Linked DNA regions of Tamandua tetradactyla. Each later gene encodes a partner of the first gene's protein in a complex. Links are inferred from orthologs where the notes say so. Each region holds a gene or a part of one and is shown in the gene's direction. Other genes may lie near its edges.

Region 1 (7,766 bases):
AAGGGTCAGTTATATGATTTAGGAAAATTATTTCAATAGGAATAAGCAGATGGACTATAAGAGAAAAGAAATGACCTATAATACAGTTTAAAGGAGTGAAAAGAAATTAGATTAGTGTAATTCAGAATTTTTATATTACTAAGATGTTATCGTCATGTGTTGTAAGAATTTGATTGACTTTGACATGCTAAACTAAAATGTTAATTTGGCTATAGAACATTCACTTTCTTACTCCACAGATTTCACTGGAGAGAAAAAAATTGTCTTTATGTGCAAATCACATCAGTAGAACATTGCCAATTGTGCCAGGTCTTTTTGTGGTATAGGCTCTTTGTGGAAAATGGCAAATCATTGACATGAATGCCATAAATAATTTCAACAACTGCTGTAAGTGGAAACAGCAGAATTTAACGTTTTCCCCTTTCCCTAATTCAGAACATAAAAATTCCAGCATTGCTTTAAAACAGGGGCTGCAAACTGAAATGCCTTCAGGAGTCTGGTAGATAGCTATGACGGCAACTTAGTTCAACGTACACTACCTAAGTGCCTGGCCTGCTCTTAACACCTCATATGCACTAATTCACTTAATTCTAATAATAAATCTTAAAGTCAGGGACTGTTATCTCCATTTTACATATGGTGAAATTCAGGCACAGATAGGTTATATAACCTCCCCAAGATTACCATATATAAATGGTGGTGCAGGCAGATTGGTTCCAGCGCTCATGATTTAACTACTATATACAAATTCACTACCAAGGTAACACAAATGAGTGAGGAAGGTCAAAGACGAGTTCGTGCTGTGGCAAACTGAACAATGGCAAGTCCAGCCAAAAGGGGCCTGTCATCTCTCATCAGTTACTGCAGTGTCAGAATGTGGGTATAGTATTGTCAGAATCTTTACTTTTTCAAAGGTGAGCAAAAGTCTAGATTTGTGTGTGAAATCCTGCCCTCCGACCTCCACCACATACTTTAAAAATATTTCTTGCCAGTGTTTCTGAAATCCGTTGAACCAAATCTAAGATATCTAAAAAGTTCAACCCTGGCCAGAGGCTTCAAGGCTTACTTCAACATGGCTTGTTTATCTACATATAAATTGAGTAAGCTTATATATAATGCTATGGAAAAATAGGCTGAATCAGGTGAGCATAAAACCAAGGACACCGATTTTGATGTGTGGTTTGTGAAAAGTAGCCTCATTATTTGACAGTCAGTGCTTGTAATAATCACTAGCCGGAGCATCCTGAGAAATACCATGCTAAATCTATACCAGCATTATAACTAAAAATAAAATAATATATGTTCTCAATGATCACTTCAGAAGGTTTCTGATAGACCCCTATTTTCCTTTAATACACTATATGGATCGATCATGCAAGAAATTATCTTAATTTTTTCTATACCTGTATTTTCAAATGGCACTTCCATTGTACTTTTACAATGCTGTCACGCGCATTATCTCAATTTTTGCTGGGTTTAAACAGTTTATGTCTTGCCATCTAGCTTAATGGCACAATTTAAGATTATTACACTTGGAAGCATTATTTTAAATTGAGAAGAAGGTTAACAGGTCTATAACCTTGGTCTAAGTGTAAGGGATTTCAATAAGGGTGTTGAAAAAAAATCACTTTTGTCCCCTGTCTTAACCAGTGCATTTTCATTACTAGACTTAATTTTTATGAGGCCACATACTGTAACATTGTGTCTTTCTGAGTGCCAATAGCATGTAGTTCAGTTCATGAAATCAATGGTGACATCAGGCCAACTTTAGATACAACTGTGGCCACAGACTGTAACATTGTATCTTTCTGAGTGCCAACAGCATGCAGCTCAACTAGTGAAATCAGTGGTGACATCAGCCAACTTTAGATATAACTGTGTCAATCTTTAACAACTGTCTTCCCATGGATCAACAGGGCTGATGTGGCTTATGAAGATGTCTGAGCAATCAGCTGTGCAGCCTTTCTTTCTCTCCTGGTCTCTTAAATAGTGATCTTCCCCAGGCTTCAGTCACAGGCTTACCTTTCACACTCTACACATTTCTCCTGAGCAGACTTCTACTCTCATGGCCTTAACACCTATTTAATACAGACATTTGGGTGGCACTGAATGACACCAAAATCATTGCCTCTTACCTCAGCTTCTTTGCTAACCTAAAATTTATATCACTAAATGACTGCTGGATACTCCCATTATCAACACGCCCCAAACTGAAGTTATAATCCTCCCCCTTAAAACCTGCTCCTTCTCCAATGTTGCCTACATCAGTAAATGGCCCTGCCCAAATGTCTAACAGTGATTTCTAGATAAATCACACTTCCTAGTGACGCTGCCTCCAAAAACGTATCTCCAATCTGTCTGCTTCTCTCCACTCCTATTGACACCATACTTCAGTGAGGAGTCATTGCAATTCACCAGAATTATTCCTAACTGGTGAATGCCTCAAACTATCTCCCCTCTATTGTGCAGCCAAAATGATCCCTTCAAATCATGAATCTGTTTAAAAACACATAAATGATCTCCAAACACCCTTAGGATAAAGTCTAAACTCCTTGTCATGGCTTACAAATTTGTTCAAGAGCTGGAAGTCACCTTTTAAGTTAATATAGCATGGCAAATGGATAAGAGCATGGGGTCTAAAGAAGCCAATCTGATCTAGCTCCATCCAGCTGTCTCACAACAGGCAAATCACTTGACTTCTTTGTCCCTCAATTTCATCCTCTGTAAAAACGGGATAACAGTATGTATCTCATAGTGCGGTTGTGAATGTTAAATGAGAAAAAATAACAAACCACTTGACACAGTGTCTGGAACACTATCTGACACATAGTAAATGGTCAGCAAATAATAGCTATTGTTATTATCTTTCTAGCTCATTTCTCACTTCTCTCCCATTTGTCCTTAGAGTTCCATCCATAGCGCCCAGTGAACCTCTTTCATCCTTCTTCTCACTGGTCCATTACATAAAGTCCCTTTGATTGCATGTTTCCCTCCATCCCCCTCTTCAGCAACTCTCTGGACTCCTCTGGGAAAGTCATCTGTGCAACTCCTAGATGCTCCCTAAGGTTCTGTACTTGTCTTACTTTCTAGTACTATTTTTTCTCTCCCTGTTAAACTGTAGGTTTTGTGTAAAAGGGTCCATGTCTTTCTTGCTTACCACTGAAATGGTTTTGTACCCCAGGAAACCCATGTTCTTCTTTCTAATTCAATCTTGTGGGGGCAGACCTATTGTTTGGGTGGGATCTTTTTGATTAAGTTGTTTCCAAGGAGATGCATCTCTGCCCACTCAAGGTAGGTCTTACTGGGCTTACTGGGGTCCTTTTAAGAGGGAGCCATTTTGGGAAAAGCTTAGAGCCGACACAGACAGAGACATCTGGAGATGCAGGAAGAAAACGCCCCAGGGAAGCAGTTTGAAAACAGAAGCCAAAGGACCAGCAGACACCAAGCATATGCTTTCCCAGCTGACAGAGGTCTTCCAGGCCTATCTTGAGTCAGGGTATCTTTCTTTGGATGCCTTAGTTTGTAAATTTTTAATGGCCTTAGACCTCTAAACTTGTAACTCAATAAATCCCCTTTATAAAAACCAATCCATTTTTGGTGTATTGCATTCTGGCAGTATTAGCAAACTAAAACACCGTTTTATCCCCAATGCCCACCACAGTGCCTGACACCTGACAGGCAGTAAAGCTGTCAGTGTATGAATGTGTGCATTTTTCCTCTCTCACAGCTCAGTATGTGTTCCTCTCAAAGCCGCAAGCCAGCAGAAAAGCACAGCTGTACCGTAACAGCTGTCCGCAGAACACACTTCAGGACAAGGCTGCCACAGGACAAACGCTTCTGAACCACAGCACTTCTCAGAATCCTATGCTCAAGTGCATTGTTAACCTCCAAGCGGGGGGCAGAGGGCGTGTATTTCTGCATACATCTCCTGCACTGAACGCTGTGGCACAGGCCAGTCTCAGGAGATGCTCACCCCCGCTGGACGTCTAAGGCAGACAGCAGCTGTGGGCGGGGAAGGCTCCGAAGCACTCGGACTGCAGGGTTCACGGGTGGCAATGAGCACCCTTTACACACAGAACCTGACACGGGGAAGAAACCGACAGGATTCACCCAAGCGCCTCCTCTGACCCAACGAGGCCCAGAAGAGCAAAGGGAACGGTCTGCGGCCACAGGCAAGCGGAAGCGCTGGAGGGGGAGCCCCGGGCGCCCGCAGGGCCCGACCCCACGCCCGCCACCACGCCCGGGACCCGCGGGGTCGCCACGCGCGCCCATTCGAATGGCATCTCTAAGCCACCCCGAAGCGACGGCCGAGGCCTGCCACCCCTTCGGGCCTCCACGGGCTGCCCTTCCTCCTCCTTTCCCCCCCAGCGTTTCTGCGGGGAAGACGCCTGTCCGCGGCGGGGAGACGGCTTCCGCCCGCTCTCAGCGTGGGGCTGGGAGCCGGCACTTGCTGCCCCCGAGCCCCGCAACCCAGCGGCGGCGCGGCGCCTCCGCCCGAAGGCGCCCGGCATCGTCCTCTCCCATCCCAACCGCCCCCTCCCCGCTCCCGCTCCCGTCCGAGCCCGGCAGGCCGTCCTCACCTGGGATTGCCATGGTGCTGGCAACAGGGGGTCAAGGGTGCGCGCGTCCCGCCGGCGCGGGGACAACGCCCGGCCGAAGCGGCCTCGCCCTCGCCGCAGCGCCGCCGAAGCTCCGCGAGAGGCCCGGAAGGGCCGCTAAGCCCCTGGCGACGGCGGAACCAAGGCGTCGCCGCTGTGGTTTCCGGGCGAGTCACGGTGCAGCGAACATTTGGCCTGAACCATTACAGCCAACTCCTGAGGGGTGCGTGTGTGTGACCGACACAGGTGTGTGGCGAAAGTGAACACCACGAAGACTCAAGATGGTTCTTTAACTTTTTAAATACGAATAACTTTACGCTATAGACGCTGAAGACTCTTTTCTCCTTCCCTGGAGGATATCGGAATCCCCCTTATCGGGGTTAGCGGTGTTCGGGTCCGGGAGCAACATGGCGGCATGCGTGAGCGGCTAGGTTGGCGGGCCCAGGGCGCGGCGTCGCTGTCTTTCAGGGCCTCGGCTTACTGGAGCTCTCCGCGACCGCCTCCTCCAGGGAGCGTGAACTCCTCCGCGGTAGCGTTCGTTGACCGGAGTTTTGCGGACTTCGAAGTAGAGCCCTGAGCACCGACAAGGATGAGCAACATCTACATCCAGGAGCCTCCCACGAACGGGAAGGTGAGCGCCTCACCTGGGGCCTCTGGGCTCCCGGAAGCGAGCCCTCTCCCACTAGGAGGGCTCTGAGGTGTTCGGGATGGAAGAGGCCACAGGGAGTGTCGTCGTCCCCCTGTCTCGGGACGAGGCGTCGAAAGCCGTACTGAACACTCATAGCATGGATTGGAAAACCAAGAGCTTGGGTGGAGAGTTCCTCCATTGCCCTCGCCGCGGGGCCTTCTGCCCCCGACCCAACTCGTGCAGGCGTTTACGAGGGTCTTAGGGTTTTAGAAGCAAAATATGAAATTTAACATATTATTTTCTTGGCTTGGAGAGCTCTCCTTTTCGCATCCGTTCTGCAATCATTTGTTGAGTTCTTGCTGTGCACGGGTGCTGTGCTAGGCGCTGGGGATGCAGAGATGGGTAGGCCTAGTTACTGCCCTGGAAGAGCGCATAGTTAAGTTTACAAGACAAGCCCTAAAGAAAAAGCTTCCATATACGTCTAGTAGGCATCCTTGTGGAAACAGAATCATTGTTCTATGGCAGTACTGAGGAGTGAGCCGCTGGAAAAGTTAGGAAAAGCTTCTTGGAGCTGAAATTAAAACACGAGATAATTGCCAGTCAGAGAAAGTGGAGAATGGGGAGTGTTCCCATATTTGAATGGGAGGTTAGGGTCCTGATCGATTTGGTGGTCAAGGTACGTCAATTCCCATCCACGGTGTTTGTATGCAGTATGAGGCAGAGAAGTTAACGATGGGATTAGTGTCATTTGCATTCTTGAACTGAGACCTAGTCTATATCATATGTGAAATATTATGAAGAAAATAGTGGGACTTAAAGTATGTGGTTTGATTAGGGTAAACGAAATTTGCCTACAGTACAGTTCTGTTGCATGACTGTATCATAAATTACTTATGCAATCTTCTATTGATGGTCATTTGGTAATATAATGAGAGCAATTTGTAAACGTACAAAAAGTTTCTGTAATGAAATATCCTTGGCAAATATTTTAAGGGGAATTATGGGCAGAATTAATTCTTTGTTGTTTGACCTTCTCCTGGGCACTCCAGATTAGCATTCTCCCTTTCCCCCATGTCATTGTCAAAACCCCAAATAACTATCCCCTCGTTTTTCCAAATGTTTCTTGGGGATGATATTACCCCCAGGTGATAAAACCTGGCAGAAGATTGAATAAATTACCCATCTTGCCAGGCAGAGGCTTCACACTTGCTCTTCTCCTTGGTTTGTTCTTCTGCCTGCTCAAATGTCATCCTAAAAAAGAGGCCTTTCCTATTTGCCCTCCGTGATGGTTGGTTCATGTGTCAGCTTGGCCAGAGGGTGGTGTCCGGCTATTTGGTTAAGCAAGCACCATCCTGATGGTTCCTGTGAGGCCGTTTTGTGGACGTAAATCATCAGTAAATTGATTGCATCTATGGCTGATGACATCTACAGTCAACTGAGGAGATGGCCTTCACACTGAGAGATATATCATCCAATCAGTTCAAGACTTTAAAAGATGACGTGATGACTTCAGCAGTCAGAAGAATTTCTATCTCCACTTCAGCCAGCCGAGTAGAATTCCAAGGTTCCCCCAGAGAATTCATCAAAAACCTTCCCCAGATTTCCTGGCTTGTGACCTGCCCTTTGGAATTTGGACTTATGCATCCCCACAGTTGTATAAGACAATTTTTATAAAAATCTCATAGTATATATCTCAACAGATACGTCCTTTTGGTTCTGTTTCCCTACAGAACCCTGACAAAGACACCTTCTATGACATAGCATATAGTAGTCATGCCCTGCATCCCTGCATTCCCTGGCCCCCTGAACCTATTTTTCTGTAGTACTTATTTTCTTGTTTATCGTGCATCCCCTTCCCTCAGAGAATGCAAGTTCTCTGAGAGCAGAGATTTTGCTTTGTTCACTGTACTTAGAACAGTGCTTGATGCATAGTAGGAGTTCAAATATGTATTGCATAAATGAATGAATGTTATTTCTCTTAGCTTCTGAGAAGTATTAAGCGTCGGTGGGTTTAAGTAGACTGTGACTGGTTAAGTGCAGGCTGACTTGCTTTTTTGAGGAAGACTTAGCATGGTCATATAGATGAAAAGCTTAACAAGGTTACATGCCTAAATAGAAAACCATTTATTCATCAACAAATATTTTTTGAGCACCGAACACATACCAGGCTCTATGCAAGGTTTTAGGGATACAACAGAAAGAAAAAACAGCATTGTCCCTGTCATCATGGAGTTACCTTGGTGACATATGTGTTGACCAAATAATCATGCAAATAAACACGTAATTGCATACTGTGGTGAATAATGTTAATCTTTTGGACAGTAGTGGACTGAGGGAGAACCTCAGGCAGGGCCCAAGTTTTGTCCAAAAACAATTTGGGAACTTTAACAACATAAGGATTATTGAAGAGATTGAAGCCCTGAAGTTCTATACTGTAGGAAGTGTGGCAACTAAAGTGTACTGTAGAGAGTGTGGCAAGAATTTTGGTCTTGCAGGAATTTAAAGCACCTGTAATGACAAGTCTGCTCAGTAAATGTTTG
Region 2 (7,346 bases), on another chromosome or scaffold:
AGTTTCCTTTAAGAGTGGTATGTGATAATTAAATAAAGTTGCTACTGAAGCCCTACCTCTTAACCTTTCATCTCAAGACCTGTATCTGAGTACCTTGTTTATTAACCTGATAACTCTCTCACCACAGCTTATCTTTCAGTTGATACAGTAATCTCGATTCTTCTGAGTTATCAGCCACATTTGAGAAAGCACTAAGCACTTTCTAAGCCAATGTGGAAGTATTTTGCTATTTCAACATTCCCAAGAGATCTTGGATTAAGTACTATAGATATGACAAGGCTGCCTACAGTGATTTCATCTGTGGGACTCATTTATCCAAATGCAGAAAACTTCTTCATAATTGTATAGACAATGTAAATTCTGGCAAATAAACCACCATTACAAATTAAAAAAAAAGAATGAAGCTGATCAGGTCAGGATTAAGGTAACTCAGAACACAGGGGTAAGGAAGACATTGTCTATATTTTAGAACCTCACCTCTTTGAGACCAAAGGAAGAAAGGCTTATTTTGTCCAGAATCTAAATTTTCTGTAGCACATAATCTAACTCACTCTGTCTGAATACCTCATTTAAACAACTGAAACAAACACAGGGAGCCCAGAATAAGAATGAGGGCCTTTAATCCTGTATAGCTTAATGTAATGCCTGGATACATCCTAGAATATACTAAGCAGATAATCAAAAAGTATTGGCAAAGTCCCTTAAGGGACCAGAGAAAAATATGGAACTATTAAACTTTGCCACCAGGGAAATCCCTGACACAGTGTGAAACTTTAGGGACACCCAAATCAATACACCAAACCCTTGATCTTGAGGTTTACTCTTCTGAAGCTTATGTATGTAGTGGAGAAACTTAGCCTACCTACAAGTATGCTTAAGAGTTGCTTCTGGAGGACCTCTTTTGTTGCTCAGAGATGGCCTCACTCTCTCTAAGCCCAACTCTGCAAGCGAAATCATTGCCCCCCCCCCACCACGTGGGACATGACATCCAGGGGTGAAAGGCTCCCTGGTGACATGGGGAGATGATTCCCAGGGATGAGTCCAGCTCTGGCACTGTGGGATCAACAATGCCATCCTGACCAGAAGGGGGAAAAGAAGTATAACAAATAAGGAATCAGTGGCTGAAGTTCAAATAGAGTTGAGATGCTACTCAGGAGGTCACTCTTCAGAAGCTTCAGTTAGACATTGCTACCTCTCATAACTTGCCAAACCCCAACCAAAACCATTCTAGTCAATCCTAAAGAATACTTAGGGCAATATATGAGTCTATAAAGATTCCAAGCACTAGGGTAACTTTCTAGAAACCTACAATCTCCAGATGGGTACCTGGACCAGATAAGTCCTGAAACCTAGAGGGACTTCAAAACATCAGCTAGTTCCATCTCCCTATTGTGTATTATTGATAGCCCCTTCCAAAATGAAAAAGTTAGAATGGCCATAGCCCAAATACCCCTAAAGAAAGGGATAGAAAGATCAAAGGTGATGGTAGAGTTACACAGAGAAGGAAGGGTTTAACAAACAAGTATGACTGGTGAATCATTATATTAATATTTTAGAGAAGCTAGAAGTAAAAACCTAAAATTGTGGAATTGTAACCCATACCAAACTCTAAAATCTGTTCTACAACTAATTGTGGCGCTATGCTTTGAAATTTATTGCTTTTTTGTATATATGTTATTTTTCACACACACAAAAAAGTTGATTGTGATAAAAATTATTTCCTTCTAGTCTCCAATGTCCTGGAGAAGCTAGAAGGAAAAACCTGAGACGATGATATAGCAGCCCATGCCAAACTCCAGGATCTGTCCTGTAACTACTTATTGAAAAGTGCTTTGAAAATTATTGGGTTTTTCTTTCTTTGCTTTGTATATATGTTGTATTATACTATAAAAAAGTTTAAAAAAAAACAAAAACATATTGGCAATTCTTGAACAGAAGGGGGAAGAGAGAAATGAGACAAAATAAAGTTCAGTGGCTGAGAGATTTCAAAACAAATTTAAAAGTATTGGCAAAGTTCCTTGAGGGATGGGAGAAAAAATACAGAACTACTAAACTTTACCACCAAGTAAACCCCAGATACTGTGTCAAACATTAGGGACACCCAAATCAATAGACCAAGTCCTCGATCTTGAGGCTTGCTCTTGTGAAGCTTATGTCTGTAGCGGAGAAGCTATGTCTACCTATAATTATGCCTAAGGGTTGCTTCCAGAGAACCTCTTTTGTTGCTCAGATATGGCCTCTCTCCGTAAGCCTAACTCTGCAAGGAAAATCATTACCCTCCCTTCTTTGTGGGACATGACATCCAGTGGTGTGAGTCTCGCTGGTAATGTGGGATATGACTCCAAGGATGAGCCTGGTCCTGGCACCGTGGGATCAACAGTGCCTACCTGACCAAAGAGGGAGGAAAGAAATATAACAAAATAAGGTATCAGTGGCTAAGAGATTTCAAATAGAGTTGAGAGGCTATTCTGAAGGTTACTGTTTTGCAAGCTTCAGAGAGAGACTGCTAATTGCTATACTGTACTAAACCCCAAGCAACAGCATTCCTGTAAACCCCAAAGAGTACCTCTAGCTTTGAGACGCAATAAAAATTTCCCTCACTAAGTTTGTTTTTCAGAAACCTAAAACCTCCAGATGATTACTAGGCCAGATAAGCACAGAAGCCCAGAGTTACTAGTCTAAGAGCAGAAACCAGTTGTATCCCCCTGCCCCATAATGCTGACACACCTCTTTTCAAGATGAAGAAGTTAAAACGGTCCTTGTCCAAATATCCCTAAAGACTGGGAGAAAGATCAAAGAAGTTGTAACAGAGAAGACAGGATTTAACAAATGAATATGACTACTGAATCATTATATTGTTATATCTTTTTTAATCTCCATTGTCCTAAAGCAGCTAGAAGGAAATACCTGAGATTGTGGAACTGTAACCCATACCATACTATGAAATTCGTTCTACAACTGTTTGTTAAACTATACTTTGACATCTATTGCTTTTTTGTCTATTTGTTATATTTCACAATAAAAAATGTTAAAAAAAGATACCCATGAAATAATTTTTGACTACTTACTTGATATTTACTGTTCTGAAGACTTACAATTTAAAACAAAGATCAAGACTATTACATTCTTAAATAGTGATTAAGGTATCACCCACATCTTAGGATCAATTTAATAGAATTACTGTAAAGAAGCATTCTTATAAATTCATTAGGTAGGGATTTGAAAGTCAGTTGAAAATCTTCATCAGAGCTGAGAGTATTGTACAGGCCTTCCTGAGATTCTTCATCAAAGCTAAACGAAGTGTACTGGACAGGTCTATCTGGGGCAGGATGACTTCAGCCCTGAAGGAAGCCTATCAGAGCCAAAAGACTATCTACTTTATGGTAAAAGAACTAATAGAAGGATTCTTCTGAATTTAATATGTTTTGAAAGGTGGAAAAAAGCAATCTAGGAGAACAGTTACAGAGAACTAAACTGGAAAACATAGTGGAAATTACCGCAAAATCTTCAAAACTTCTTGCATGGCTTAGCCACTGTGGAAACCATCCATCCAGCTGGGTTTGAGGATTTTAAATGTTCTATTTTTTTGTCCCCGTAAGTATACTCATGTTTGTGAGATCGTGTGCCTTTATTTTTATTATGAAAATAGGGATGCTGTATATCTGCCTGTGCTTAAAGCTGTGAAACACAACTGGCACAAAGGCCAAAGAAGCGACCGACAGCAAAGGTATTAAGTATGTATTTCGAAATATGCATAATTCACTGTAGGTTGCTGGCACACCTTATATGTGCTCTGTAGGCCAGCGGCGCCGAGAGAGCTATCATTTTATTAACCTCTCCCGCTCGTGGGCGCTGTTCAGTCCCTGTTAACATCCAAGTCTGCCCTTTGCTCTTGAGGCCCGGACGGCAACGGTGCAGGCACCTGGAAATAGGTTACAGGAAAAACACATCTAAAAATAATAAGCGACTTCTCAGGAGATTGTCCAAACTGTAAGTGAGGGCTATTTCTGAATGCAAAAGTAGAATTTTGGCATTTTTAAAAGCCTAGTTTCACCAAAGTGAGAAGTCCTGGAATAAGGTACGTAAATTTAACGGCCCGGGCTGCTCTAGACGTGATATGGGATGCAAGGACTGTTCAGGCCGGCCTGCCCTAAAGGGGCCCCCAGTTTGGCCTCCGTACGGTCCGGCGGCGCCGGGAAGTAAGCTAGTGACCAGCCGCGGGGAGAGAGGCCTGAGCTGCCGCCGCATCCCTAACATCTCGGCCACGTCCGGCCTCAGGCGGCCGTCCGGCATCCGGGCAGGAAGTTCCTGCCCGGGTCGGCGCGTTACCTGCAGGAGGTGCAGTTGAGCCACGAGGCACCGAGGCAGGTGGAGGAAACAGTCGCGGGCGTTGGTGAAGATCACCTTCACGGCCGCTCCGCCTCCACCAGCGCCTGCCAAGCGATAGCTGCCCCACATCGCGAGCTAGCGCAGAAGCCGAGTAACCCACCCTTGCGCCGCGGCCGACTGGGACCAGGGCAGGCTGAGGGCGTCGGACCCAGAGAAGATCGATCGGCCCGCCCCCGCGGCCCCGCCCCCTTTCTCCCGGCGAGTCTGACCCGGAGTCCTTTAGGGGAGGCAAGAAAGCCTTCACTCACTTTCCCGGCCTCTCCTCCGCGCCGCTGGGGGCGGTACCTCGTTCACAGAACCACAGCTCACAGGAAACGATGGCCGACGCTGTCGATTCTCCAGCCAATCTCTGCGCGCCGTGAGCCCTCTGCTCTCTCATTGGATAAACAGTAGCGCAGCAAAGCGGATGTTGTCCTCTCTCCCAGGGCCAAAGCTGTCAAGATGGCGTTGAGTAGTGGGGAACTAGGGGGCTCGTTCGACCACCACGTGCAGAGAGCGGTGTGCGACTCGCGGGCAAAGTATCGGGACGGTAGACGGCCTCGCGCTGTCAAGGTAAAGTGATATGGGTTCCATTAGCCAAACTCGGTAGCTTTAAGTGAGCATTCACTCCAGATTTTTAAGTAAGGACAAGGCTATTGTCATATTCATCTCTCATAGGATATGGGCGTTAGAACCGAGGGGCAGGCAGGCCCCACAGATTTTCCCGAGCATCAGGTCTGTGAGAGCAGGGCTGTGTTAGTTTGCAAGCTGCGGGAAGTGATATACCAGAAATGGCACGGCTCACAGGAACGCCTTTGTCGGCTGAGAAGTCACGTAGCTGGCATTTGCTGGTCCCTAGCTCCTGGGCCCGGTTGCTTTTATTCTCTGTTCCTATCCGGATTGCTCACTTTGCTTTTCCAGGGCTGACTTTCATCTCTTGGCTTCTCTTGAGTCTCACCAGGTTCTGTTTTGCTTGACTCTCATGGCCATATCTGCTGTGCCCCATGCTTCTCCAGACATCCGAGTCTCTGTTTTCCAAACTTTGGTTTCTGTGCCAGCTCTACTCTGAAGTTTTGTTGGCCCTGTCGTTTCACCGAAGTGTTTCCCCCTTTTAAAAACTCTAGTAATCTTATCAGGACCCTCCTGGAATGGGTGGAGTCACATCTCCATGTACGCAAAGGTCACGCCCACAATCCGGCGTGTCACATCCCCGTGGAAATAATCTCATCATGTTTCTAACCTACAGTGCTGAATAGGGATGAAAAGAAACACCTGCTCCCACAAAATTAGATCAGGATTAAAAGATGGCTTTTCTGGGGTACATAATATTTTCAAATTGGCACAAGGGCTTTGCTTTATTCTTTGTATTTTACATTCTTATAACTGCTTTGCACAAGGTAAGTAAGTACTCAGTAAATATTTGTTGAGTGAATGTTCCCAATAACATGATCCGTTTTAACGATTCAGTGTCTGGAAAAAGTCTACTGAAGGTGGTCTGGTATATATTTTAATTAGAGGCCTTCCCATGTGGAACTAGTTATTCTTTATGCAGAAAGAGTGGCAACTTTTAAAATTTTGTGTATTGTCTGCAAATTGGGTTGAACAGTTTTATTTTCAAAGCCTATTCTTACAAATAAGGGTAAATTTACCCTAGGCTTATTTGTGAAATTCATTTAATGACTGCATTTCTTTTAGGTATATACAATCAACTTGGAATCTCGGTACTTAATAATACAAGGAGTTCCTGCAGTGGGAGCAATGAATGAATTAGTTGAACGATTTGCTTTATATGGTGCGATTGAGCAATATAATGCTCTAGATGAATACCCAGCAGAAGAATTTACAGAAGTTTATCTTATTAAATATCTGAATTTACAAAGTGCAAGGTAATATGCAAGTTAAATAGTGTTTCATTTCCTCCATCCCCATTGCTATCAAACTGGTCCCAGGCATTCCTGAATTACCCAGTAATCTAACATAGCCCTGTATGGCTCTTATTTTCCTCCAGCATTTTTAAAGATGAGCCTTACCAAAACACTGTTCCCATCATGTCACTCCTATGCTTAAATTAACAACTATCTGTTAGGTGTAGTAGATGAAAAATTGGGTTTGGGGTAAGTTTTCCATTTCCACTGCTTTCTAGCTTCATAACCTTGGGCAAATTATTTAACCTTTTAAAAGTTGTTTTTTTCTCCTTCTGTAAGACCCATCTGGTAAAAGGACCTCCTTTTGAGGTTGTATGAGGATTGAAATGAGGTAGTCCATGTAAGGGTTTCACATAGTATTTTCCATTCAGAATGCAATAAACATTAGCTCTTGAGGTTCTTATTTTTATAGTCCTAAATGAATTTTCACCATTTATGCAGCCTGCCATATTATATAAACCCTCATTTCAATAAGATTAAAGTATAAAATGCCTCATCCATTTTTTGTTAATTCCTAATTTTGCCACTAATCTGCTCCAAAAGCCATCTTTGTCTGGTTATTACAATTCATATTTTCTTGTCTGTGTTACCAGTAGCACTCATTGTCTGCACAAAAGCATGTGATTTTATGGAGTCATGTGTTGCTCTTATATGTAATCTCACTTCCCCAGTCAGCTTTCCAGTTCCCAGTGGTTATGGAAACATATTTTCTAAAGCTTTTGCATTTGAATTCTAGCTCCACCAAAACTAGTTGTGTGACCTTGGCCAAGTTATATAATCTCCCTGTGCCTCAGTTTCATTATGAGGTCGTGTGAAGTGTTAATTCATGTAAAGCAATTAGGACATGGCATATGATAAATATAATATTTCTTATTATACATAGGCACAGAAGAAGTATTTATTTATTGTAGTAGAGCCTGGTCAGATATAGATGTTCAATAAATATTTCTTGAATGAATACCATCCTCCTTGTTTTCTCATTGATTGGTTGCTTTATATTCAGTATTTCTTAAATTATTGCAAGTTTTACAATGATAATATTTTAATTATTAA

The links. The genes of interacting proteins can lie anywhere in the genome.
Region 2: CWC27 (region 1) and RBM48 share a complex: the UniProt entries of both Homo sapiens proteins name them as parts of the minor spliceosome. The link is inferred for Tamandua tetradactyla from reciprocal best matches to the Homo sapiens genes CWC27 and RBM48.

The regions. Positions count from the first base shown.
Region 1 is NC_135335.1:112,329,049-112,336,814, forward strand, and holds the start of CWC27 (spliceosome-associated protein CWC27 homolog), read left to right. Parts: upstream 1-4,747; 5' UTR 4,748-5,187; coding exon 5,188-5,229; intron 5,230-7,766. Other genes in the region: protein SREK1IP1, read right to left, coding at 4,581-4,593. UniProt on the Homo sapiens protein: As part of the spliceosome, plays a role in pre-mRNA splicing. Probable inactive PPIase with no peptidyl-prolyl cis-trans isomerase activity. As a component of the minor spliceosome, involved in the splicing of U12-type introns in pre-mRNAs.
Region 2 is NC_135327.1:123,744,633-123,751,978, reverse strand, and holds the start of RBM48 (RNA-binding protein 48), read left to right. Parts: upstream 1-4,458; 5' UTR 4,459-4,830; coding exon 4,831-4,941; intron 4,942-6,063; coding exon 6,064-6,254; intron 6,255-7,346. Other genes in the region: peroxisomal ATPase PEX1, read right to left, coding at 4,330-4,458. UniProt on the Homo sapiens protein: As a component of the minor spliceosome, involved in the splicing of U12-type introns in pre-mRNAs.